Callithrix jacchus: one gene and its partner. The protein of the gene in region 2 interacts with the protein of the main gene of each other region in a biochemical or structural test. Links are inferred from orthologs where the notes say so. Each region holds a gene or a part of one and is shown on either strand. Other genes may lie near its edges. The genes, in order: CASQ2 and TRDN.

The links.
Region 1: the proteins of TRDN (region 2) and CASQ2 form a complex in vitro, tested with the Homo sapiens proteins (3 studies listed by BioGRID). The link is inferred for Callithrix jacchus from reciprocal best matches to the Homo sapiens genes TRDN and CASQ2.

Annotation. Positions count from the first base shown.
Region 1 is NC_133508.1:153,731,100-153,744,038, forward strand, and holds part of CASQ2 (calsequestrin-2), read right to left. Parts: intron 9,677-12,939; coding exon 9,592-9,676; intron 5,878-9,591; coding exon 5,777-5,877; intron 3,767-5,776; coding exon 3,655-3,766; intron 1-3,654. UniProt on the Homo sapiens protein: Calsequestrin is a high-capacity, moderate affinity, calcium-binding protein and thus acts as an internal calcium store in muscle. Calcium ions are bound by clusters of acidic residues at the protein surface, especially at the interface between subunits.
Region 2 is NC_133505.1:130,112,377-130,125,315, reverse strand, and holds part of TRDN (triadin), read left to right. Parts: intron 1-7,194; coding exon 7,195-7,404; intron 7,405-12,939. UniProt on the Homo sapiens protein: Contributes to the regulation of lumenal Ca2+ release via the sarcoplasmic reticulum calcium release channels RYR1 and RYR2, a key step in triggering skeletal and heart muscle contraction.

The DNA of each region.
Region 1 (12,939 bases), on a different chromosome or scaffold from region 2:
TTATCTTTGCATTTCCTCACCTCTCTTCCCCCTCTCTCTCAGGGTTGTCTATTCTGGGTATTAGTATAGCAAATTTTAGTAACAGCGTATGTTTGATGGCACCAGTTAGAAATCCTGATAGGACATGCTTGGAATAATATCATCTGTCTTACAAAGAAGAATCAAACCAAGGTGTTGGGATGAAACATTCAAAGAAGTAAATGAACATGCCAAAATATATTCTGAAAGCTCTGCCCAAGTTAAGTGCACGTAGTTAAGTGTATAAACTTTATAGTGTATGAACTCTGAAGTCAGATTTTCAAAGTACTGTCCCAGTTCATGTATTGATAGTGCAGCTACAATGACAAGAAAGTGTAAAGGCTTCACATCAAGTTCTTTCTGAAAATCCTGAGATTCAAATAATATTTATTCAGAGAAAAGCTCTGTCATATCAAGGTTCGCCTGTGAATCTGCATTCCACAAAAAGGGTGCTATTTTCAAAAGTGACTCTAATAACATCGAAACCTGCACAACTCCTTCTCTTTATGGCTTTTGGTGAAGAAATGAGTTCAGGAGACCTCTCCATGCTCTTTCACCCTGAAGTGGGTTCACTCAGCAACAAGTCTACAGACTTCATCAGCCAAAAAGTCGATTTTGAAATATGCTGTGAATTATACTTACTTTGAAAGTATTTCGAGAGATCATTAGTGGCTTCAAAAAAGGCTAGACCTTGCGAAACACCCACCTGAATGTACTTAATTGAAAATTACAAGGACCAGGTGAAATATATAATGTACTAACAAAGTTTACACATTTAAAAACAAAAATCCCACCTTAAAAAGAGGTTAAAGTGACTCACTTGCAATTTGATTATTTAAATTTTAAGAACAATTATTAAGATGAGTAGAGCAATATCTGTGTATTCCTAAGGAAAAGCTTCATTATTTTGAAATACTATGATATAAAAAAATTTAATTAGGATTTGTAACCCTTTCACATTCATTCAAATTATTATAAAGAATACAAACATTATATTTGTCAATGAAAGAAAAGGAATAGCTGTCAGATTGAATTAAGTGCCCTAAAGGACACTTTAGAGGTGGAATTCTCTGCATTATGTCCGATGGCAGAAAAAGAATGCTCGTCAGTCTAAGAAACAGCAGGCCAGACGTAGTGACTCACGCCCGTAATCCCAGTAGTTTGGCAGACTGAGGCGGGTGAATCATCTGAGGTCAGGAGATCGAGACCAGCCTGGCCAACATGGTAAAACCCCATCTCTACTAAAAATGCAAAAAAATTAGCTGGGCGTGGTGGCAGGTGACTGTAGTCCCAGCTACCCAGGAGGCTGAGGCAGGAAATTCACATTAACCAGGGAGGCAGAGGTTACAGTGAGCTGAGACTGCGCCACTGCACTACAGCGTTGGCAACAAGAGTGAAACTCAGTCTCAAAAAAAAAAAAAAAGAAATGAAAAGAAAAAGCAATGGATATTATCCTCCCTTTTGTCACCATCCACATATACAAGTGAAGTCTCTTGTCGATGGTGATCATTAAGAATTTGAAGAGATCGTCATTTAAAATCTGGATAAGGAATTTCATGTTGTTATTTAAACATAAAAGCTAATATCTAAAAGCTATATTCTAGGCTGGACATGGTGGCTAATGCCTGTAATCTCAGCACTTTCGGAGATTAAGGCGGGTGGATCACTTGAGGTCAGGAGTTCAAGTCCAAGCCTGACCAAGCTGGTGAAATTCCATCTCTACTAAAAATACTAAAATTAGCCAGGCGTTTTGGCGGGCACCTATAATCCTCAGGAAGCTGAGTCAGGAGAATAACTTAATCCCAGGAGGCACAGGTTGCAGTGAGCTGAGATCATGCCACTGCACTCTAGCCTGGGCAACAGAGAAAAACTAGATCTCAAAAAACAGCTATATTCTTGAAGTAAGCATAACATTCTCATTCAAATTTTTTTTTAATTGGAAAAATTTTACAATGCAATGTGTAATATATTTCATGATATTTTCTTATTGTACACTGCAAAGTTAATTTTTTCACGAAGCCCAATTCCTTCATGTTTACTTCCATTTTATACTCTACAAGCATTATCGCATTTTATATGTGCAATGACCTAAGTTTACAAAGTCTTGAAAATATAGCCCAGTAGTTAAGTGTATAAACCCTAAAGTCACATTCCGAGGATCTCAGTCTTGGCTCCACTATTTACTAGCTGTGTGATAATGGGCAGGTGAATTGCACCTTTCAGTTCCATCCTTCCATCATCAGTAACAAGCAGATGATAATGATAACCACCTCACAGGCTTGCTGTGAGAATGAAATTAAGGCATCCATAGAAGCTCCTAGCATAGGCCCTGGCATATGAAATGTGTTAATTAGTATTATTATGATTGTTCATCCAGGTGGGAAAGAAAGGTACTGGGAGGTGTGCTCTCTATCCTAACCTTGGCTTTGCCTCCCATTTATCTGCCATCCTGAGCTACATGGATGAAGAGGATAGAGAAATGTAAAGATGGAAACAAATTGAGGTGGAGGAACTGAAAAAGAAGGGGCAGGAGAAGCACCCCAGAGCAGTCAGCACTGATACGCAAATGTACAAACTAAAATAAAGTCGCTTGAAGACGAACTGGGGCAAATCTTCCTGGCTAGCTACCTCCCTCTAGCATATTCATTTTAAGCACTGTAAACGGAGGTTTGAAGGAAGCAAATGAGGACAGGGTTAAGTTGGGGCGTGGGAGACAGCAAAGGAATGGGTTGTTGAAGAGGTGACTAAGGATACTAGCAGGCAGACTGGTTAAAGAAATGGGCTTGGAAACAACTTCAGAATATTTTGGGGTTCCCAGAAATAGTCATAAGCAGCCCACGCTTGCACTTCCTACTTGTATGAATGCTACCAGAGTTCTGTTCACCCCCTCTAAGGCTTTTTCTCTCTCCAAGGCTGAGACACTGGAAAAAAAAAAAAAAAAGCCTACTTCATTGGACCCACGCTGCCAAAGCAGTTTTTAAATATGTACAGTACTTAAGTCTAACTCCTCCTGGTCCCTTCTTCCTGATCTTCCTGACTCACCCCCACCACCCTCTCATCTCTATATGGGCTGTGCTGTGCTGATGCTATCATAAGTCCTTGTGTCCACCCGAAACCTGGTCACAAAGCTTTCCAAGGGATATGCCCAAGGGTGTGGCTGCACTACGGCAGGCAGCCTTGGTGGTCAGCTACAGCCTTGGCCAGCGATTTTTCACACTCTGTAGCAGCTACTAAACCCATCCCTACCCCAATTTTCCACTCATGCTTTCCAATTGACTGCGAAGTTCTCCATCTGGTGACCAGAGGAGCTGCCAATGCCAGGGAGATAGCCCGTTGCTTGTCCCATTGTCGGGGAGAATCCGACTGAGGGGTGGGTGGGCAGGAAAAGTGAAGAAGGGCTTTTCTCCCTTCTGTAGACCACTCAGCCTGCTTTAAAGCCAGAGAACCTGGCCCCACCTTAATATTCTTTCAGCTTTCCTGACTGTTTTGTATAACTTTTGCACATGTGCTCCACAGTGTTAGGCTCAGGAGGGAATTCTACCCAGCAAAAGAGGTGCTGAAGACCCATCCCTTTTGAGGTACCTTATTGGAAATCTAGCCTTTAGACTGATAGGTTGGGGTTGGCAGACAACTTACATTCTGAGTCCTCACTCTTGAAAAAGCCAATGAGTTTGATCTGGTCCTCAATGCGTTCGAAGGCTTGGACTTCCAGTTTGCTGCTGATGATCTCCACTGGGTCTTCAATTAGCTGAAATGCCACACACACACACACACACACACACACACACACACAAAAATATGTTCAAACAAGAGATTTCCTTCTCCACTGGGAAAATAGAGTGTGTTGGAGGGAAGTCGTAGCAGACTTTGTGGGTGGTGCCTCAAATACCTATTCTGCTCTCCCCACAAACCCCCAGTGAGCATACGGCAGTACCTTCTGAGGACTAGACCTTAGCTCAAAGAATGAGATGATTGGTGGGGGCAACCTATTCCTTCTGCCAGTTTTAAAAACCAGTTTTTAATTGTAAATTGATAAATTATACTTGTATTTATTGGATATAAAGTGTTGCTATGATCTATAAATACAAGGTGAAATAATTAAATCAAGCTAATTAACTTATCCGTCATTTTTTGTGGTGAGAGCATTTGAAATTTACTCTTTTAGTAATTTTGAAATGTGTAATACATATTATTTGTTATATTCACCATGCTCTACAATATATCTCAAAGAATGAATCGTATTCCTCCTGTCTAACTGAGGCTTTGCACTCTTTTACCATCATCTCTCCATTTCCCAGCCCCCATCCAGTCTCTGCTTCTGTGATTCCACATATCATAGGTGAGAACATGTGCTATTAGTCTTTCCGTGCCTCGGTTATTTCAATTAGCATAATGTTCTCCAATTCCACCTGTATAGTTCCAAATGACATTTCTTCCTTTTTTTCAAGAAATGTCATTTGGAATATTATTCGTTTGTGTATATACTACACGTTCTTTATCCATTCATCTGCTGGATATTTAGGTGGATCTCATAACTTCCCTTGCCAGTTATTGATTGAGGAATAGGCAAGTAACTAGCCCAATAAGGACAGATTTGCTGAAGGCTTTGGGAGAAGCTCTTTACACTTAAAAGGGCAATGGGAAGCCAAATTTGTTTTTTCTGTCATGGAACATGAATGAGGAAATGTGATGTGCTGGTTCCTGCTCTGGCCATCTTATAGCTCACATTGAGAATCGTCAGCTTGAGGACACAGGCAACATACTGAAAACAGAGTTATCTGTGATTTACAGAGAAAAATGGAGCCAGTGTCTGGATTTGATGAAGGGTAAAGTCTGCCCTAATGGAGGCTTCTATTTATCTGAGTCAGTCGCCTTGTTTACTGTTTGACGTGGTCAGTCTTATTTCCAAAAGCCTCCTCCTAGCTGATCAGGCTGGGGCAGCACCATGTTGTCCCAGAGTTGTCACCCCCTCAACTGTTTTAGGGCTTGTGGGTGTGGGTCAATGAGATGGCCAAGCACAATGGGTCATGAGATGGCACGGTTTTGGTAAGACGTAGCTTCCAACTCACTTCTGACCTTCCCTCTGGTTTTTGACACTGTAGAGAAAGAACTATAGACCACCGAGTTCTAGCTGATAGATAAGGAATGGTCGGCACGGATGTTCAACAGCAGGTCCTTTATCTATGCAAGAACATGTGTTCAAAGCATTGGACTTCACAGCAGTTACTGAAAGTGTGAGTTTATCTATGGTTGAAATATTTTTATAATGCTTGTTCCTCTGTTTCTCTGAGCATATGGATATGAGTGTGTGGTAAGTTCATGGCTGAAAATGAGTGTGATATCGGGAGGCTCATTAGCTCTGCCACTTCTCTGTGTTGCTCTGAGGGTAGTTAACTCAGGGTGACCTGGCTGATTGATACTCCTGTCCCCCCTCTCTGGTTATCCCCCTCTCTCCCCACATTTCCCAGCTCCTCTTCAGCAGTAGTGGAGCAAAGCCAAGGAAATTTTAATATGTATCACTGGTAAGAGAATTAGCATATTACTACTATATGGTCCCCAGCAGTTTCTAGGGTGACTTAAAGATCAGCTTCCCAGTAGACAGTGCAATAATATAGGTGCTCCTTAGTTTTTTTGTGAATCCTGAAAATCCTGTCACAGACGAGGTCAGGTTCTCTGGCTTTTCTGTTCTTTGAGGTTCTATCTCCATATATTGGAGCAGAGACAGCTCCATGCAGGGTCACTGTGCATAAATGCTTACATCCAAGAGGAACTCCACCAAGACATCAGCTGCAAACTCGCCATCAAACTCTATTGTGCGATCACCCTTAAGAATATACAGGCTTCCTTCTTCGTCAAAACCTGTGAGAAACAAAGAGGCCCACAGAGAGGGTCATCCTGATGTAGGACGAGACATTGCATTGGCTGAGGTCTGGCTCAGGGTTTCTGGGTGACAGTGGGTTCAGGATTCGTGGAACCAGCATTAACCCAAGAATCAATTCCCCTAAAATAACACTTTTGAAGAGCTCCTGAAGTGGACATTTAATTGGAAATAGTCAAGAAAAATTCCACCTGGATTTCAACTTAAAAGTCTATTCTCCACCCCACCACTGCTTTAGTTTTCCAAAACTACAGCTGATCTCGTGTCATTCTCCTTATCAAAGAGTTTTAGTGGCCACCGCCCACCTGGCTCCTTAGCCTTGCATTAAAGTCCCTCCAAAATCTGGTTCCAATTCTGTCCCTTTCATTCTCCCTTGGGTAGACCCATGCTCCTTTGAGAACTGCTCTCTTGTCCCTTGTGCAACTCCCTGTGCTTCCTTCCCACTTGCTTATATGAAAGGGTGGGTGGCAGGAAAGTCACAGAGCATTATTCTCCAGACTTATGTTTTCCTTGTTCCCCAGCTTGGAATGACCTCCGTCTTGATTAGCTTCTTCAGGTCTCAGATTAGGATTCATTTTTCTTAAGAAAGGTCACCTCAGTCTCACTGAGCCCATACCGTTATTGATCTTTCCTTAACTCAATTTACAGGCCTTCACTATCACAGTGAGTTCTCTGAGGGTGGGATCATTGTCACTGGTATCTCAGTGCCTCGTACGGCGCCTGGGTGTATTAGCACCCTGCTAATGCGTGCGGCCAGGATGGACAGCTTGCTTCCCGTTCCGGTTGAATCCCACACATCTTCTTTACCCGGTTGGCTAGTAGGTATGACAAGGACAGGCTCAGCATCTTCTTATTTTTCTGCCTTGTGGCACACCCTTGGTCTGATGTTGTGTACCATAACAAATGCTTGTTGGAAAACTGTATTTTTCTCCCCAGGAATGTTAAATAGCCAAAGCTGGCGTTTGGTCCAACTGCATGGCATCCTTAATTCTTTAGACTGTTTTAAAACTATTAGCTGGAGAATGTTTTCTCCCAATGAACTCTTCTGCAGAACTTCCAGGGACAGGAAGGCTGGACTGCTGCCTGTTGCGTCCAAAGCCATAGATGATGTATAAGGAGCCCCTGGCACATGGGGGGAAATGGTGGGGGCACCATTTGTAAATCAAAAGGAGCAACATGCCAGGTATTCTTTTTTGTTTGTTTGGTTTTTGCTTTTTGAGACATGGTTTCCCTCTGTCACCCAGGTTGGATTGCTGGGCCATGATCACAGCTCCTGCCTCAGCCTCTTGAGGAGCTGAGACTACAGGCATGTGCTACCATGCTGGCTAATTTTTTTTTTTTTTTAAGAGACAAGGTCTGGCTATGTTGCCCAGGTTGGTCTCAACGCGCTGGGATTACAGGCATGGGACATCGTGTCCGGTTCTGCCAGATTTTCTTGATGTCAGTGATGGCTGATCTCAAAAGGTGCCCTAGGGAGCATTAGCCAGTATCCTGCTGTCAGATTTTGTCTTGGGCAAAACCACAGTTAGAAGGCTGCTGCAGTTGTTCAGGCACAATCTGACAGAGGCCAAAATAAGGCAAAGGGAAGAGGAATGAAGATGAAGAAGCAGGTTCACAAAATACCTCCGCTGTCCTGTAAACCAGGGACTAAACAGCAAGAAGGAACCTGCCCCAACTCTTTCAAGCTGAGCTTGGAGAAAAGTTTGTTTCAATGTATCAAGCCCCTCATATTCTTTGCCAGTCTATTTTTATGTATACTTGCTCAACTTGTCCACCCAAAATGTTTTGATCACTGGGACACTAGCTTTTTATGTAACTAAATTTGCTGGAAATTCTCCCAAACTTAGCTTCTCATGAAGCAATAGGAAGGCAGAAGAGGAATCAAGAGACTGTTGGGGGAGGAGGCAGAATTCATTAAATTGTTTTTAACTCTAGGGAAAGAATTTAACATATTTTGCTCCCATATTCGAGGGAGAAAAATATCCCTTAATATGTCTTTAGGGAAAGAGGCATCCCAGGCTTTATTTATTTATGTATTTATTTTGGGGCAGAGTCTCACTTTGTTGCCCAGGCTGGAGTGCAGTGGCAGAATCATGCAGGTGGAAGTGACTGCAATCTTGACCTCCCTGGCTCAAGCCATCCTCTCATCCCAAGTAGCTGACACTACAGGCACATGCCACGATGCCTGGTGAATTTTTAAATTTTTTGTAAAGATGAGGTTTCACTGAGTTGCCCAAGCTGGTCTCAAACTCCTGGGCTCAAGCAGTCCTCTGCCCTTGTCCTCCCAAAGTGCCCAGACATTCTTAATAACTCATTATAATTTTATAGTCATGAATTCTTTCTTACGTCTAACCTAAATAGTCTCCTATAATTTAAATCTTTTTTGAAAATGACTGGTCTTCTTGAAAATAAAACAGGAAACAGTTGTCTGTAATTTTGCAGGATAATGGACTTTCATGTACCTGAAGGCCTGTATTGGACCACCACTAACTTTTTTTTTTTCCTGTACTTACTACTCCAAATCTGATTAACCTTTCTTCAAAGGTCCTGTTTTATAACCTGCTGTTTTTTTTAAACAGCCATTCTTCACTGATCATGCAGAAAAAGCCAAATGGGCAGTACATGTGTGTCAGTGTGTGAAAATCAGGGGAACAGGCCAGGAGTGGTGGCTCACACCTGTAATCCCAGCATTTTGCGAGGCCAAGGCAGGCAGATCATTCAAGGTTAGGAGTTCAAGACCCACCTGGCCAACATGATGAAACCCTGTCTCTACTAAAAATACAAAAAAATGAGCCAAGTGTGGTGGCATGTGACTGTAATCTCAGCTACTTGAGAGGCTGAGGCACAAGAATCATTTGATTCCAGGAGGCAGAGGTTGCAATGAGCCAAGATCACACCACTGCACTCCAGCCTGGGTGACAGAGTAAGAAGAGACCCTGACTCAAAAAAAAAAAAAAAAAAAAAAAAGAAAAGAAAAGAAAAAGAAAGAAGGAAGGAAGGAAGGAAAAAAAGAAAAGAGAAAAGAAAGGAAAAGAAAACCGGAGGAGCTACCAACATTCTCTCTCTTTGAGATCGCGAGGCTGTGAATCTTGAAGTGCACTGCACTTAAGTGTGACGTATTGACACAGGAGAGCACAACTTCCATTATGTGGTCGCTTAACTAATCCTCACCTCTGTCCTCCCTCTCGTCCTCAGTGATAAAGCCCAGCTGGGCGTTAGCCTTACATTTAAAAAGCACCGTTACCCTGGCATTATTACCATGAATACTATGTTTTGTTGGCTGCTTCAGTCGCAAGGCAACGAAATAATCTGTGATGAAAGAAGAGGGTTTTTTAACTCTCTGAGAGAGATGACCACAGTGGTGAGACAAGAGAAGCTGGCCTTTCAGCTTGCTGTGGAAGCTGCAAGCAAAAGCTTGACTCTTGAGCGTGTTTCTCCAGGAAGAAGTCTTCTTCATTGTACTGATACAACAATCGCTTACATGACTCATGTGAAACCATGCAATTCAGGCCTGTGTTTACCTTTATAAAACCCTTCTCCGGCCAAAGACGAAGGCATGCAGGATCATGTAACATATCTTTAAAGACAGTTCGCTCATGCAAGAGTCATTGCAACTGCACTATTCTTTTTGCAAGACACATTCGTTTCTTTCCCACATAGTGTAAGAGATACTGTATCTGAAAAGTCACACTCACCCAGTTTCTTGGCAAGCTTGGCTTCTTTCTTGGCATCCACCATCACAAAGCCTATAGCTTTATGTTCAAGGACCTGGGCCACAAGCTGAAGGAACAAATGGAAAGATAAATGCGCTAAGGGCAGAAAGATGGTAGGAAATACTACAGGATTACTATCCTCATACATCAACGGAAGGGTTTTTCTCTATACTTTCTACTACTGTGTGACCAAGTCAACCGCAGCAAAGGAAATGTATTCGTGTCCCCTAAGGAGGATGATTTAGGAGAATGCTGAGAATCAAGAGGAAGCATCTGAGGAGCAGGCCTAAGACAGAACATTTGGAAGAATATATCCACTATTACACACCATTTTCTGCCCTCGGAGTAGAAAAAATCTGGATCAGGAGAGAGAAGAATCAGGAAGCATGGATGATTGATAAGAGACCCTGAGCCCTTCTCTAGCTGCCAAATGTACCTGGAATAGAGTGGGAACACAAGAGGACTTAAGAATAAAGGAGTCTTATGTCCTCAATATCCAAGCATCCCCTCACTTCCCCGACTCCTGGGCTTGTGAAGTAGGAATGCTCACTGGGTGAGTAGACCTGAGATGTCCTCTCAAGGTTTCCTGCAGCACAGTAAGACTGGTAGAGTATCGGGGGTCAGGGGTTCAGCTCCAAAGGCCAGGAGGATGCAGCACTGTCTTGGACGGACAGATAGATGAAAACTACTCTGGGTAGACACCAGCATAGATGGTGACACCCAGCACAAGGCTGGCATTATGTCAAGCTTCCTGAAACGTAGATATGAGCAAGTTGGGTGTACTTGCTACTTCAGGACTGATAGCTAATTCTTGCCATCTGTTTGAGCAGGGGCTTGAAACGGAAACAGAATGGAGATGCTACTAGACAGATCATGAAATATTAATATTGCTTTTTTTTTAAGTTAAACTTTAAAAAATGATAATTGCAGATTAATGTGTAATTGTGAGAAATGATACAGAGAGCTATCTTGCACATTGCATCTAGTTTCCCTCAATAGTAACATCTTGCAAAACAGAGGTACAACGTCACAAATTGGATATTGACATTGATACAGTTAAGATACAAAACATTTCCATCGCCACAAGGATCCCTCTGTTGTCCTTCATGGTCAGACCCACTGGTTTGTGTCCCCATCCCCTCTTTAACCCTGGGCAACCACTAATTTGTTCTCCATTCCTATAATTTTTGTCATTTCAAGAATGTTACATAAATGGAATCATAGAGTATGTAACCTTTTGAGACTGACTTTTTTCGCTCAGTTTAATTATGTAGAGATTCATCAGGTTGTTACATGTATCACTACATCATTTCTTTTTTATTGCTTTTTTATTTTATGGGATTCTATGGCATGAGTGTACCATAGTCGGTTGAATCATTCACTCATTGAAGGGTGTCTGGGTTGTTCCCAGTTATTGGTTAGTATGAATAGAGCTGCTATAAACCTTGTGTACAGGTTTTTGAGTCTTAGTTTCCCTGAGATAAATGTCTAGTAGTATAATTACTGGGTTGTATGGTAGTCACATGTTTAGTTTTTAAAGAAGCTGCAAAACTATTTTTCAGAGTAGCTGTATTATTTCACCTTCCCATGAGCAAGGTATGAATGATCTAGTTTTTCCACATCTTTATCAGGACTTGGTAACATAAGCATTTTTCATTTCAGTCATTCTGACAGGTATGTAGTACTATCTCATTGTGGTTTTAATTTGCATTTTCCTAATGGCTAACAATGTTGAGCATTTTTAAATGTGCGTATTTGCCATATGTATGTTCTCTTCTATGAAATGCCTGTTCACATCTTTTGCTCATTTTTTAACTGGATTGCTTTTTGGTTGTTGAATTTTGAGAGTTTTTTTTTTAATAGCAGTCCTTTTTCAGATATATGGTTTATAAGTATTTTCTTTCACTCCATAGTTGTGTCATTTCATCTTCTTTTTTTATTTGACAAGTAACAATTGTACATATTCATAGGGTACAGAGTGATGTTGTGATCCATGTAATGTATAGTGATCAGATCAGGTTAATTAGCATGCCTATCACCTCAAACATTTATCATTTTTCGTGTGTTGCAAACATTCAATATCATAATCTTTTCATCTTTTTTTAAACATTTGAAAAATTATTTTATTACTTTTCTTGGCTGATAAAATTAATACACATTCATAACATATCATTTTTTTCTTTATTTATTTTTTTAATTGTATTTAGGCTCTGGGGTACATGTGCACATCCTGCATCCTGCAGGATTGTTGCATAGGTAGATACATGCCATGGTGGATTGCTGTCTCCATCCACCCCCGCCACCTGTCACCTGCAACAGGCATTTCTCCCGGTGTTATCCCTCCCCATCCTCCCAGTCCCCTTCACTCTCCCTCCACATCCCCTGCCCTCCCCTCCATTTCCTAACCTAGCCCTGTGAGTGTTGTTCCCTTCCCCGTGCCCAAGTGTTCTCATTGTTCATCACCCGCCTACAAGTGAAGACATTTAGTATCTGCTTTTCTGTTCTTGTGTCAGTTTGCTGAGAATGATAGTTTCTAGATTCATCCATGTCTCTACAAAGGACACAAACTCGTCGTTTTTTTATGGCTGCATAGTATTCCATGGTGCATATGTACCACATTTTCCTTGTCCAGTCTATCATCGATGGGCATTGGGGTTGCTTCCAGGTCTTTGCTATCATAAACAGCATCACAATGACCATAAATGTGCATGTGTCCTTATAGTAGAATGATTTATAATCCTTTGGGTATATACCCAGTAATGGGATTGCTAGGTCAAATGGAATTTCTATTTTTAGGTCCTTTAGACAGGAATTGCCACACTGTCTTCCACAATGGTTGAACTAATTTACACTCCCACCAACAGCGTAAAAGTGTTCCTATTTCTCCACATCCTCTCCAGCATCTGTTGTCTCCAGATTTTTTAATGATCGCCATTCTAACTGGCATGAGATGGTATCTCGATGTGGTTTTGATTTTCATTTCTGTAATGATCAGTGTTGATGAGCATCTTTACATATGTTTGTTGGCCGCATATTTGTCTTCTTTTGAAAAGTGTCTGTTCATGTCCTTCACCCACTTTTGAATGGGCTTGTTTGGTTTTTTTTTTTGTAAATCTGCTTTAGTTCTTTGTATATTCTGGATGTTAGCCCTTTGTCTGATGGGTAGATTGCAAAATTTTTTTCCCATTCTGTTGGTTGCCAGTTTACTCTAATGATTGTTTCTTTTGCTGTGCAGAACCTTAAGTTTAACTAGATTGCACTTGTCTATTTTGGATTTTGTTGCCATTGCTTTTGGTGGTTTAGTCATAAAGTCCTTGTCTGTACTTATGT
Region 2 (12,939 bases):
TGCGAAAATTTCTGCCATTTTTCTCAATACATATTATTATTTCTTTCTTTCATTTCCCACGGTGCACAGCTTTTTCATTAAATTATGCACAGCCATAAAACTACATGTCATGAAGCTACTTAAATTATAATTTGAGGAATACATAATGGCAATAAAACACACTTCTGATATATTGCCTAGTCAAAAAAAAAGGAAAAGACAATGTGCTAATGATTTGTCAAAAACAAATAAATCATATTTATATATTTATATGTAGGTACAGAAATATAGGTGCAAAATAGTAACAGTGGTTATTTCTGGGTGGTGACATTAAAAATATCTATTATTGAGGAGGACTCAAGATGGTGCTGTGAGAACAACCCAGGATTGAAGCTCTCGGTGCATGCGTGGAGAGGGTGAGTCAGGGCCGCATTTCCAGACGGATCTTTGTTGCCCACAGAACTAGGAAATTCCCAGGTATAAAAGAGACGCAGGAAGCCAGGCAGAGGTCTTGGCTGGTGTAGCCAGCAGCTGGTGCAGCGGCAGCCCACGCTGTAGCGCAGCGGCGCTACACAGCATTCTGCACAAAGCACACTGGTCCGGGTGCCCTGTTGAACTGGCAACCTGAGACTTGAGAGGGCTGTACCTGAGACTGAACGGGACTTGGACAGTGAGCCAGCCCAGGAGATTCCAGGGACACAGCGTTTGGGGTAGCGCAGTGCGACAAACAAAACGGCGATTCCAAACGCTCCCTGTGGAGAGGCTCCTTGAGAGCACAGCTCCATGGAAGAGGGGCATCCGCCATTACCGAGACAACCCTCCCCTACTGAGGTACACTCCCATTGCTGACGCAGCCTGCCATTGCCGAAGCAACCTGCTACAATAGAGAGACTGCGCCGCAGGGTGTAGCCTGTGGCAGCAGGGCGGAGACCATAGCAGAAGGGCAGAGACTGCAGCAACAGGGCGAACCTCACACCAGCAGGGCAGAGCCTTGGCAGGCAAATAGTGACTAGACTGCCTCCTAGCTGGGCAGAACAGCACAACGGACACTCAAAAATAAAGCCCCAACCCCCCCAGACAGAGCATATGAGAAAAAAAAGGGTTTTCTTATGAGTTCTGTTGCAGCAGAATTAAACATAGCAGCCTAACAGCCCTGAATGAACAACAGAGCCCACAGCTCAGCAATTGAGCTCCTATAAAGTAAAGACTGTCTCCTCAAGCAGCTCCCTGACCCCTCTATATCCAAAAGATTGACATTTGGCAGGCATCATCCTGGGACAAAGATAGCAGAAAAAGAAACTGGTAGCATCCCTCACTGTTTCGCAGCTGCTATAGGTGCACCCCAGACAAGCAGGGCCTGGAGTGGACCTCAGCAGTCGTACAGTGGAGGGGCTAGACTGGTAGAAGGAAAACCAAGTAACAGAAATACTTCATCATCAACAATCTGGGTGTCCATTCTGAGACCCAATCGAAAAGTCAGCAACTACTCAGATGACAGGTGGATAAATCCACAAAGATGGGAAGAAACCAGCACAAAAAGGAGGAAAACACCCGAAACCAGAACACCTTGCCTCCTAGAAAGGACCAAAACTCCTCACCAACAAGGGAACAAAGCTGGACGGAGAATGACTGTGACGAAATGACAAAATTAGACTTCAGAAGGTGGATAATGAGAAACTTTTGTGAGCTAAAAGAACATGTTTTAAATCAATGCAAAGAAACTAAGAACGTTGAAAAAAGATATGAAAAAAGATTCGAGGAAATGATAACAAGAATGGATAACTTAGAAAGGAATATGAATGAATTAAAGGAGCTGAAAAACACACCACGAGAACTTAGCGAAGCATGCACAAGTTTCAATTGCCAAATTGACCAAGCAGAAGAAAGAATATCTGAAGTCGAAGATCAACTCAATGAAATAAAATGAGAAACCAAGATCAGAGAAAAAAGCGCAAAACGGAATGTACAAAGCCTCCAAGAAATGTGGGACTATGTGAAAAGACCTAACCTACGTTTGATAGGTGTACCAGAATGTGATGAAGAAAATGAATCCAAGATGGAAAATACTCTTCAGGACATTATTCAGGAAAATTTCCCCCACCTAGCAAGACAGGCCAACACTCAAATGCAGGAAATACAGAGAACACCACAAAGATATTCCGCAAGAAGAGCAACCCCAAGGCACATAATCGTCAGATACAACAAGGTTTAAATAAAGGAGAAAATACTAAGGGCAACCAGAGAGAAATGTCGGGTCACCCACAAAGGGAAGCCCATCAGACTCACAGCAGATCACTTAGCAGAAACACTACAAGCCATAAGAGAGTGGGGGCCAATATTCAACATCCTTAAAAAAAATAACTTTCAACCCAGAATTTTTTATCCAGCCAAACTAAGCTTCATAAGTGAAGAAAAAATAAAATCCTTTGCGAACAAGCAAGTACTCAGAGATTTTGTCACCACCAGGCCTGCTTTACAAGAGCTCCTGAAAGAGACCCTACACATAGAAAGGAACAACCAGTACCAGCCATTCCAAAATCACACTAAATGCTAAAGAGCATCAACATAATGAAGAATCTACAACAACTAACGGCCAAAACAGCCAGCTAGTATCAAAATGGCAGTATCAAATTCACACATAACAATATTAACCCTAAATGTAAATGGATTAAAAGCACCAATCAAAAGACACAGACTGGCAAATTGGATAAAAAGCCAAAACCCTTCGGTGTGCTGTATCCAGGAAACCCATCTCACGTGCAAGGATACACAAAGGCTCAAAATAAAGGGACGAAGGAAGATTTACCAAGCAAATGGAGAGCAAAAAAAAGCAGGAGTTGCAATTCTCATCTCTGATAAAATGGACTTTAAAGCAACAAAGATCAAAAGAGACAAAGAGGGCCATTACATAATAGTAAAAGGATCGATACAACAAGAGGAGCTAACGATCCTAAACATATATGGACCCAACACAGTAGCACCCAGATACATAAGGCAAGTTCTTAATGACCTACAAAAAGACATAGACTCCCACACAATAATAGTGGGAGACTTTAACACTCCACTGTCAATATTAGACAGATCAACCAGACAGAAAATCAATAAGGATATTCAGGGCTTGAACTCAGAACTGGAGCAAGCAAACCTGATAGACATTTACAGAACTCTCCACCCCAAATCCACAGAATATACATTCTTCTCAGTACCACATCACACCTACTCTAAAATTGACCACATAATTGGAAGTAAAGCACTCTTCAGCAAATGCAAAACAACTGAAGTCATAACAAACAGCCTCTCAGACCATAGTACAATCAAGTTAGAACTCAGAATTGAGAAACCAACCCAGAACTGCACAGCTTCATGGAAACTGAACAACTGGCTCTTGAATGTTGACTGGATAAACAATGAAATGAAGGCAGAAATAAAGAAGTTCTTTGAAATCAATGAGAATGAAGACACAACATGCCAGAATCTCTGGGACACATTTAAAGCAGTCTCTAGAGGAAAGTATATAGCAATAAGTGCCCATATGAGGAGAATGGAGAGATCCAAAATTGACACCCTATCATCAAAATTGAAGGAGCTAGAGGAACAAGATCAAAAAAACTCAAAACCCAGCAGAAGACAAGAAATAACTAAGATCAGAGCTGAACTGAAGGAGATTGAGACACGAAAAAGCCTTCAAAAAATCAATAAATCCAAGAGCTGGTTTTTTGAAAAGATCAACAAAATAGACAGACCACTAGCCAGATTGATTAAAAATAAAAGAGAGAACAACCAAATAGATGCAATAAAAAATGATAAAGGGGAAATCATCACAGATTCCACAGAAATTCAAACCATCATCAGAGAATATTACAAACAACTCTATGCGCATAAACTAGTAAACCTGGAAGAAATGGATAAATTCCTGGACTCCTGTGTTCTCCCAAGCCTAAACCAGGAGGAAGCTGAAACTATGAATAGACCAATAACAAGGGTAGAAGTCGAGGCAGCAATTAAGAGCCTACCACACAAAAAAAGCCCAGGTCCAGATGGGTTCACAGCTGAATTCTACCAGACACACAAAGAGGAGCTGGTACCATTCCTTCTGAAACTATTCCAAATAATCCAAAAAGAGGGAATCCTTCCCAAATCATTTTATGAGACCAATATCATCCTGATATCAAACCCGGCAGAGACCCAACAAGAAAAGGAAACTTCAGGCCAATATCCATGATGAACATAGATGCAAAAATCTTCAATAAAATATTGGCAAGCCGATTGCAACAGCAAATCAAAAAACTTATTCATCATGATCAAGTAGGATTCATCCCGGGGATGCAAGGCTGGTTCAACATACGCAAGTCTATCAACGTAATTCACCACATAAACAGAACCAAAAACAAAAACCACATGATTATCTCAATTGACGCAGAGAAGGCATTCGACAAAATTCAACAGCCCTTTATGCTAAAAACCCTCAATAAACTCGGTATCGATGGAACGTATCTCAAAGTAATAAAAGCTATTTATGACAAACCAACAGCCAATATCATACTGAATGGGCAAAAACTAGAAGCATTCCCTTTGAAATTCGGCACTAGATAAGGATGCCCTCTTTCACCACTCCTATTCAATATAGTACTGGAAGTACTAGCCAGAACAATCAGGCAAGAAAAAGAAATAAAGGGTATTCAAATAGGAAAGGTGGAAGCCAAATTGTCTCTATTTGCAGACGACATGATAGTATACCTAGAAGACCCCATCGCCTCAGCCCAAAAACTCCTGAAACTGATAAGTAACTTCAGCAAAGTCTCAGGATATAAAATCAATGTGCAAAAATCACAAGCATTCCTCTACACCAATAACAGACTTAAAGAAAGCCAAATCAAGAACAAACTGCCATTCACAATTGCTACAAAAAGAATAAAATACCTAGGAATACAACTTACAAGGAACGTAAGGGACCTCTTTAAGGAAAACTACAAACCACTGCTCAACGAAATAAGAGAGGACACAAACAGATGGAGAAACATTCCATGTTCATGGTTGGGAAGAATTAATATCGTGAAAATGGCTATACTGCCCAAAGTAATTTACAGAATCAATGCTATCCCCATCAAGCTACCATTGACTTTCTTCACAGAACTGGAAAAAACCACCATGAACTTCATATGGAGCCAAAAGAGAGCCCACATAGCCAAGTCAATTCTAAACAAAAAGAACACAGCGGGGGGCATCACACTACAAGATTTCAACCTATACTACAAGGCTACCATAATCAAAACAGCATGGTACTGGTACCAAAACAGAGATATAGACCAATGGAACAAAACAGAGGCATCGGAGGCAACACAACATATCTACAGCCATACAATCTTTGGTAAACCTGACAAAAACAAGCAATGGGGAAAGGATTCCCTGTTTAACAAATGGTGTTGGGAAAACTGGCTAGCCATGTGCAGAAAGCAGAAACTGGACCCCTTCCTGACACCTTACACTAAAATTAACTCCAGATGGATTAAAGACTTAAACATAAGACCTGGCACCATAAAAACCCTAGAAGGAAATCTAGGCAAAACCATCCAGGACATAAGAGTGGCTAGGACTTCATGAACAAAACACCATAAGCATTGGCAACAAAAGCCAAAATAGACAAATGGGAACTAATCAAACTCCACAGCTTCTGCACGGCAAAAGAAACAGTCACTAGAGTGAATCAGCAACCAACAGAATGGGAAAAAATGTTTGCAGTTTACCCATCTGACAAAGGGCTGATATCCAGAATTTACAAAGAACTCAAACAGATTTACAGGAGAAAACCAAACAAGCCCATTCAAAATTGGGCAAAGGATATGAACAGACACTTTACGAAAGAAGACATATATGAGGCCAACAAACATATGAAAAAATGCTCATCGTCACTTGTCATCAGAGAGATGCAAATCAAAATCACATTGAGATACCATCTCACGCCAGTTAGAATGGCGATCATTAAAAAATCTGGAGACAACAGATGCTGGAGAGGATGTGGAGAAAAAGGAACACTTTTACACTGTGGGTGGGAGTGTAAATTAGTTCAACCATTGTGGAAGACAGTGTGGCGATTCCTCAAGGCCTTAGAAATAGAAATTCCATTTGACCCAGCAATCCCATTACTGGGCATATATCCAAAGGACTATAAATCGTTCTACTATAAGGACACATGCACACGAATGTTCATTGCAGCACTGTTTACAATAGCAAAGACCTGGAATCAACCCAAATGCCCAATGATAGACTGGATTGGGAAAATGTGGCACATATACACCATGGAATATTATGCAGCAATCAAAAATGATGAGTTTGCGTCGTTTGTAGGGACATGGATGAATCTAGAGAACATCATTCTCAGCAAACTGACACAAGAACAGAAAATGAAACACCACATATTCTCACTCATAGGTGGGTGATGAAAAATGAGAACACATGGACACAGAGAGGGGAGTACTAATCACTGGGGTCTATTGGGGGGAAAAGGGGAGGGCCAGTGGGAGGGGAAGGTGGGGAGGGATAGCCTGGGGAGAAAAGCCAAATGTGGGTGAAGGGGAGAAAGGAAGCAAAACACACTGCCATGTGTGTACCTATGCAACTGTATTGCATGTTCTGCACATGTACCCCAAAACCTAAAATGCAATAAAAAATTAACAAATAATCATAATAAAAATAAAAATATATATTATCTCTTTATTTTATTTTTATAATTTTTGAATTTTCTCTCATGAACATGTGGACCCAAAATCAGAAATAAAAGAGTTACTGGGTATAGAAAGATTTTCTAACCTCATTCTCTTAGATCTTCTGTGTCCCTACAAACAAACAAACAAACAAACATGAATGACCTCATTAGATGACCTCACTAGATGGGTCAGTTATGCAATTAAGTTAAAATATTCAAAAGTTTTATCCATTTAAACCATTTTATCACTCATTTTGATTTTCCCCTCACAGGACTTGGGAGATGAGAAATGCTGATTATATGAGCAAATGAGTTTGAAGGTGAACAGCAAATGCTGAAAAAAAGATAATGGGCTAGTAGTGGTCACAGAGGCTTTGTACTGCCACAAAAGAGTGGTGTCTGCTCTAGAAAGTGGTATAAACAGGTTCAACCCTCTTACAGTTAGTGTTTCTTGTCATCAATATTTAACGTGAATTTCTAAATTATATTTTCCTTCCTGAATGTTTGATTAGGAAATGCATCTACAACCACAACTGTCATAGACAGCAAAAATGGATCTGTGCCCAAATCCCCTGGAAAAGTGCTGAAGAGGACAGTCACAGAAGACATAGTGACGACATTCAGCTCCCCTGCAGCCTGGCTTCTGGTCATTGCCCTGATAATCACGTGGTCAGCTGTTGCCGTCGTTATGTTTGATTTAGTGGATTACAAAAACTTTTCAGGTAAGATCCATGAAATTTGGCTTTAAAATTAAAAGTAATTTAAATTGAAAGAAACAATGCTCCCTCTAAGTTCTGGCTGGGTTTCCCTTTCATCTCAGTGTGAGAAAGAAGGCATCGCACATATATGCTTGAGGATCATTGAAATCTGTTTTATTCTTCTCCCTTTCCTTCCATTCTGTTTGTCTGTTGTACTTATGACTTCCAATGAAATTGATATCCTCAATTGCAAGAGCTGAACAAAGGCTGAATGTTGCAGTTCATATAGTAGTTAAAAAGCTTGGGTGAAGATTTTATTTTGGAACTGGTACTTTATGAAGCGTAATAAGGAATAATTTGTAGGTTTTACACTTGGCAATATAAAATCAAACCAAAAGAAAACTTGACCAAATGGAGAATATTTTAAGGTCTTTTTAAGCCCCTCTGTCATCTGGTCCTAAGCTTCCTTGCTAGACAAATTCTTTGCTTCTCCCGCCAAGCCATCCTACATAGAGTTCCTGAAAATAGAGTTTTTCACAAAATAACATGTAATGAGATATTACATCTTCAGTGTCCACATGTTCTTATGACTTTGGAGTAAAATAGGACTAACACAAAGTAGAAAAGACAGATGTTCATTATAGCCTACCAACTCTTTGAGTATATTGCTCATTTTTTTTGGTCAAAGATATTTTACATATTTTAAACAGTATTTATCTATTTTCACATACGACACACTCTATTGACAGTGAATTCCTTAGGAAAGGAATCAGCCAAGTGCTCAGTAAATGTTAAATGACTAGATGAGTGAATTTATTCTCATCACCCTTTTACCACAAGCAAAAAATATTTCATTAACCTTTTAATGTGTTCTTTCATATATACTCTCCCCTCTCCTTTTTTCTTTCTCCAACAGAAGTAGAATCAGTAGGTCCCAGATACTATGAATACTATTATTTACATTCTATATATTCAGGGATCTCCTATTTCTCATTATGGAATTTTACTCATTCAACAATTACTTATCAAGTGTTTATGTGTCAGGAAATGGCTATGGCACAGATGTGAAGAAGAAATGTGATATAAAATTATGAAAATATAGAACTCTGTTATATGGGTTTATTGGCATAAAGGTGTAATATCGTTTGGATATGTGTCCCCTCTAATCTCATGATGAATTACAATCCCCAGTGCTGGAGATAGGCCTAGCAGGAGGTGACTGGATCATGGGGATGAACTTTTAGTGAATGGTTTGTCACTGTCCCCTTGGTGCTGTCCTCACAATTGTGAGTTCTCGTACGATCTGGTTGTTTTAGTGTGTGGCACCTGCCCCCTCTACTCTCTCCCTCTTGCTTCTTCTCTGGCCATATGATATGCTTGTTCCTTTTTCTTCTCCTTCCACCACTATTGTGAGCTAAGCCCCTCCAGAATCCAAGCAGATGCCAGCATCATGCTTCCTGTACAGCCTGCATAACTGTGAACCAATTAAAGATCTTTTGTTTATAAATTACCCAGTCTTAAGTATTTCTTTATAGCAATGCAAGAACAGCTTAATACAGAAAATTGGTAATAAGAGTGGGGTATTGCTATAAAGATACGTGAAAATGTGGAAGCAGCTTTGAAAGTGCGTAATGGGCAGAGGTTTGAAGAGTTTGGATTTCTCAAAAGAAGATAGGAAGAGGAAGGAAAGATTGAAACTGCTTAGCAACTGGTTAAATCGTTGAGACCAAAATGCTGATAGTGATATGGACAGTGAAGTCCAAGCTGAAGAAGTATCAGATAGAAATGAGGAACGTATTGGAGACCAGATCAAAGTTTACGCATTTTATGCCTTAGCAAAGATCTTGGATACATTCTGTTCATGCCCTAAGAATCTGTAGAAGTATGAACCTGAGCGTAATGACCTAGTGTATCTGCTGGAAGAAATATCTAAGCAGCAAAACATTCAAGATGTAGCCTGGCTGTTTCTAACAACCTGATCTAAGATGTGGGAACCAAAAAAACGACTTAAGTGGGGCCATGCTTGGTATCCCATGCCTGTAATCCCAGCACTTAAGAAGGCCTAGACGGGCGGATCACGAGGTCAGGAGATCAAGACCATTCTGGCTAACATGGTGAAACCCCGTCTCTACTAAAAATACAAAAAAAAAAAAAAAAAATTAGCCAGGCATTGTGTCACACCTGTAGTCCCAGCTGCTCAGGAAGCTGAGGCAGGGGAATTGCTTGAACCCTTGTGGTGGAGGATGCCGTGAGCCAAGATCATGACACTGCACTATAGCCTAGGTGACAGAGCCAGACTTGGTCTCAAAAAAAAAAAAGACTTAAAGTGGAATTTCTCTTTAAAGAGGATGAAGAGTATAAAAATTTGGAAAATTTGCAGCCTCACCATGTGGCAAAAAGAGAAAAAGCTTTTTTGAGAAAGGAACTCAAGCAGACTGGAAGCTTTTTTGAGAGAGAAATTCAAGCAGGCTGTGGAGCAACCATTTGCTAGAGAAATTTGCATAAAAAGAAGCAAAGTGCTGATGATAGCCAAGAAAATGGGAAAAAGGCCTTGAAGGGATTTCAGAGGTCTTTGCAGGAGTATTTCTCATCATAGACCCAGAGGTCCAGGAGAGAAGAATGATTTCCTCTGCCAGGCCCAGAACCCTGCTGCCCTGGTCAGCCCCAGAAGTGTGCTGTCTACATTCTCCCTGCTCTAGGTCCAGCTGTGGCTTAAAAGGCCACAGATGCAGATCAGGCTGCCACTCCACAGGGCACAAGCCATAAGGCTTGGTGGCTTTCACGTGATGTTAAACCTGCAGCCATGCAGAGTGCAAGAGTAAAAGAGGCTTGGAAGCCTCCACCTAGATTTCAGAGGATATTGGAAAGCCTAGGTGCCCAGGCAGAAGTTTGTTGCAGTGGCAGAGCCCTCACAGAGAACCTCTACTAGGGCAATGCAGGGGGAAAATGTGTGACTGGGGGACACACGCAGATTCCTCACTGGGGCATTGCCTAGTGGAGCTGTGGGAAGGGGCCACTGTCCTCCAGACCCCAGAATGACAGATCCACTGGCAGCTTCCACCTTGCACTTAAAAAAGCTGTACGCAGTTAACAATGTGTGAAAGCAGCCTCCAGGGCTGAACCCTGCAAAGTCACAGGTGTAGAGCTGCCCAATTCCTTGGGAGCCCACCCCTCATATCAGTGTGCCCAGGATGTGGGTCATGGAGTGAAATTTTATTTTGGAAACTTAAGATTTAATGGCTGCCCTGTGGGGTTTCAACTTACATGAGGCCTTAGCTCCTTTCCTTGAGCTGATGTCTCCTTTTTGGAACAGGAATGTTTACCCAATGCCTGTACTTTCATTGTACCCTGGAAGTAAATGACTTGTTTTGATTTTATAGGCTCATGGAAGGAAGGAATTTATTTCCAGATGCGACTTTGGACTTTAAAGTTAATGCTAGAATGAATTAAGGCTTTGAGAGACTATTGGTAGGGGGTGATTGTATTTTTCAGTGAAAGAAGACAATGAGATTTGAGGAGCCAGGGATAAAATAATATAGTTTGGATATATGTCCCATCTAATTGCATGTCAAATTGTAATCCCCAGTGTTGGAGGTGAGGTCTCTTGGGCTATTATTGTTTAATAGAGGTGGATTTTTGATGACTGATTTGGCAAATTCCCTTGGTGCTTTCCTCACAATAGTGAAGGAGATCTTGTGAGATTTGATTTTTTAAGTATGTAGCACCCCCTCACCCTCACTATCTCTCTTGGTCTTCCTCTGGCCATCCATGTGATCTGCTTGCTACCCCTTTGCTTTAACTTCCACCATGATTGTAAGCCCCCTGAAGCATTACCAAAAGCTGAGTATATGCCAGTGCCATGTTTCTGTATTGATTGCAGAACTGTGAGCCAATTAAACTGCTTTTCTTTATAAATTACCCAGTCTCAGATATTTCTTTATAGCAATGCAAGAAAGACCTAATACAAGGTGTGAATGAGATGAGTCTGCCAGCAGATCATTGGTAGCTAGAACTAAAATGGGCATCATCTAACTAGTAGAGCTAAGTCCCATGATGTCAGCAAAAGAAAAAGGGCTATTTATCCAGAGTCATAAATAGGCAATACACAATTTATTGTGTGTTAGAGGCTCTTAATATATATATATATATAGTTGAAATGTCTATAATGTAAAATTATGACCTAGAGTTTTAAGTAAAAAACACTTGGTTATCTTACTCTATGAAATTTTATTTTCCTTGAGCTTGCATTGACTAAATTATTTCCCTGTCAGATGAAATGCCAGTAACATAGGCATTGTCCAGAGAAATTAATTGTAGTGGTCCAGTGGAAACTCTACTGGGAACTATAAGTATGCCTTATATTTAAGTAATCTAATCTAAAAATCTAATTATAGGTTGCCATGCATTTTATAAAATAAGAACAAATTCCTTTCAATGATAATTTCTGTAGTATACTTGTACAATTTTTAACTTGACAAACATTTGATTTATATGCAATTCTTGAAATATGTGTATTACAAAAATGAAAGAACTGTATAAATTATGGCTTCAATAACAGTCTCAAAATGTAAATTATACTCTCATATTTTAATGTCAATTTTAATAAACACAATTCAAACTTTTGCTAAGGATTAATATTGTCATGATGAATCTTTAGTGCTAGGTGATAATCTTTGAAATATGTAATTGTTAATATTTACAAAAGAAGGTTAGTGGTGAAGAAAGTGTGCCAGAAATGATTTGGAAGGCCAGAAAGTGAAGCCAGCTGCCACTGGGTCTTCAGTTGATCTCTGAAACTTGAGAAAAGTAGGTAAATGCTGTGAAGCCATGAAAAGTTTGTTCATAGAGAAATAGAAATCTGTTTTCATAAGCATGTACTATACTGGATTGAGAAGAATTCTCTTCTGGGCAACCTTTACATTCCCTATTTTCAGAATTATATCTGATTTATGCATATATTTTCTACTAGTGCAGGAAATGCAGAATTGGCTTTTATTTGGGCTTCATTTAGATGATTTGGGTTCATTGTTCAGCTCTATGAACCTACAAGCTAACATGACTAGGAACTTATATTTTCTTGTCTGTGAAATGGGGATAACATCTTGCTCTCTATTCTGCAAAATTTTGACTTTGATTCTTCTTATCAAATGAGACAAATTTTAGGGCACCAAATAAACAGACTGGAAAAGATATTTCACCTATGCCACATTTCTTACTTAATATAACATCCAAATAATATTGATATGTATCTGTCAATGTTTGACACAGTTGCCAAAAGCTACTCTGATTTAGATAGAATAAGGGTTTATTATATGGTTTACAAATTCACGGCAGCTGATCAATCTATGTAAGGCTGTTGCAGTGCATCTGGTGTTGAGTGAAAAGTAGTCAGGGTGGAAATTGGGAAGGCAAAATGGATAGAATGGGAGGGACTAAGGACAAACTGAAACTGACAAAAACAAACTGGAGGACTTGTTTGTCTCTTACCAACACAAATTACGATTATGCAGATGAGCTGCAGGAAAAATTGATGCCTTTCCCCCACGGAACTGCAGGCGC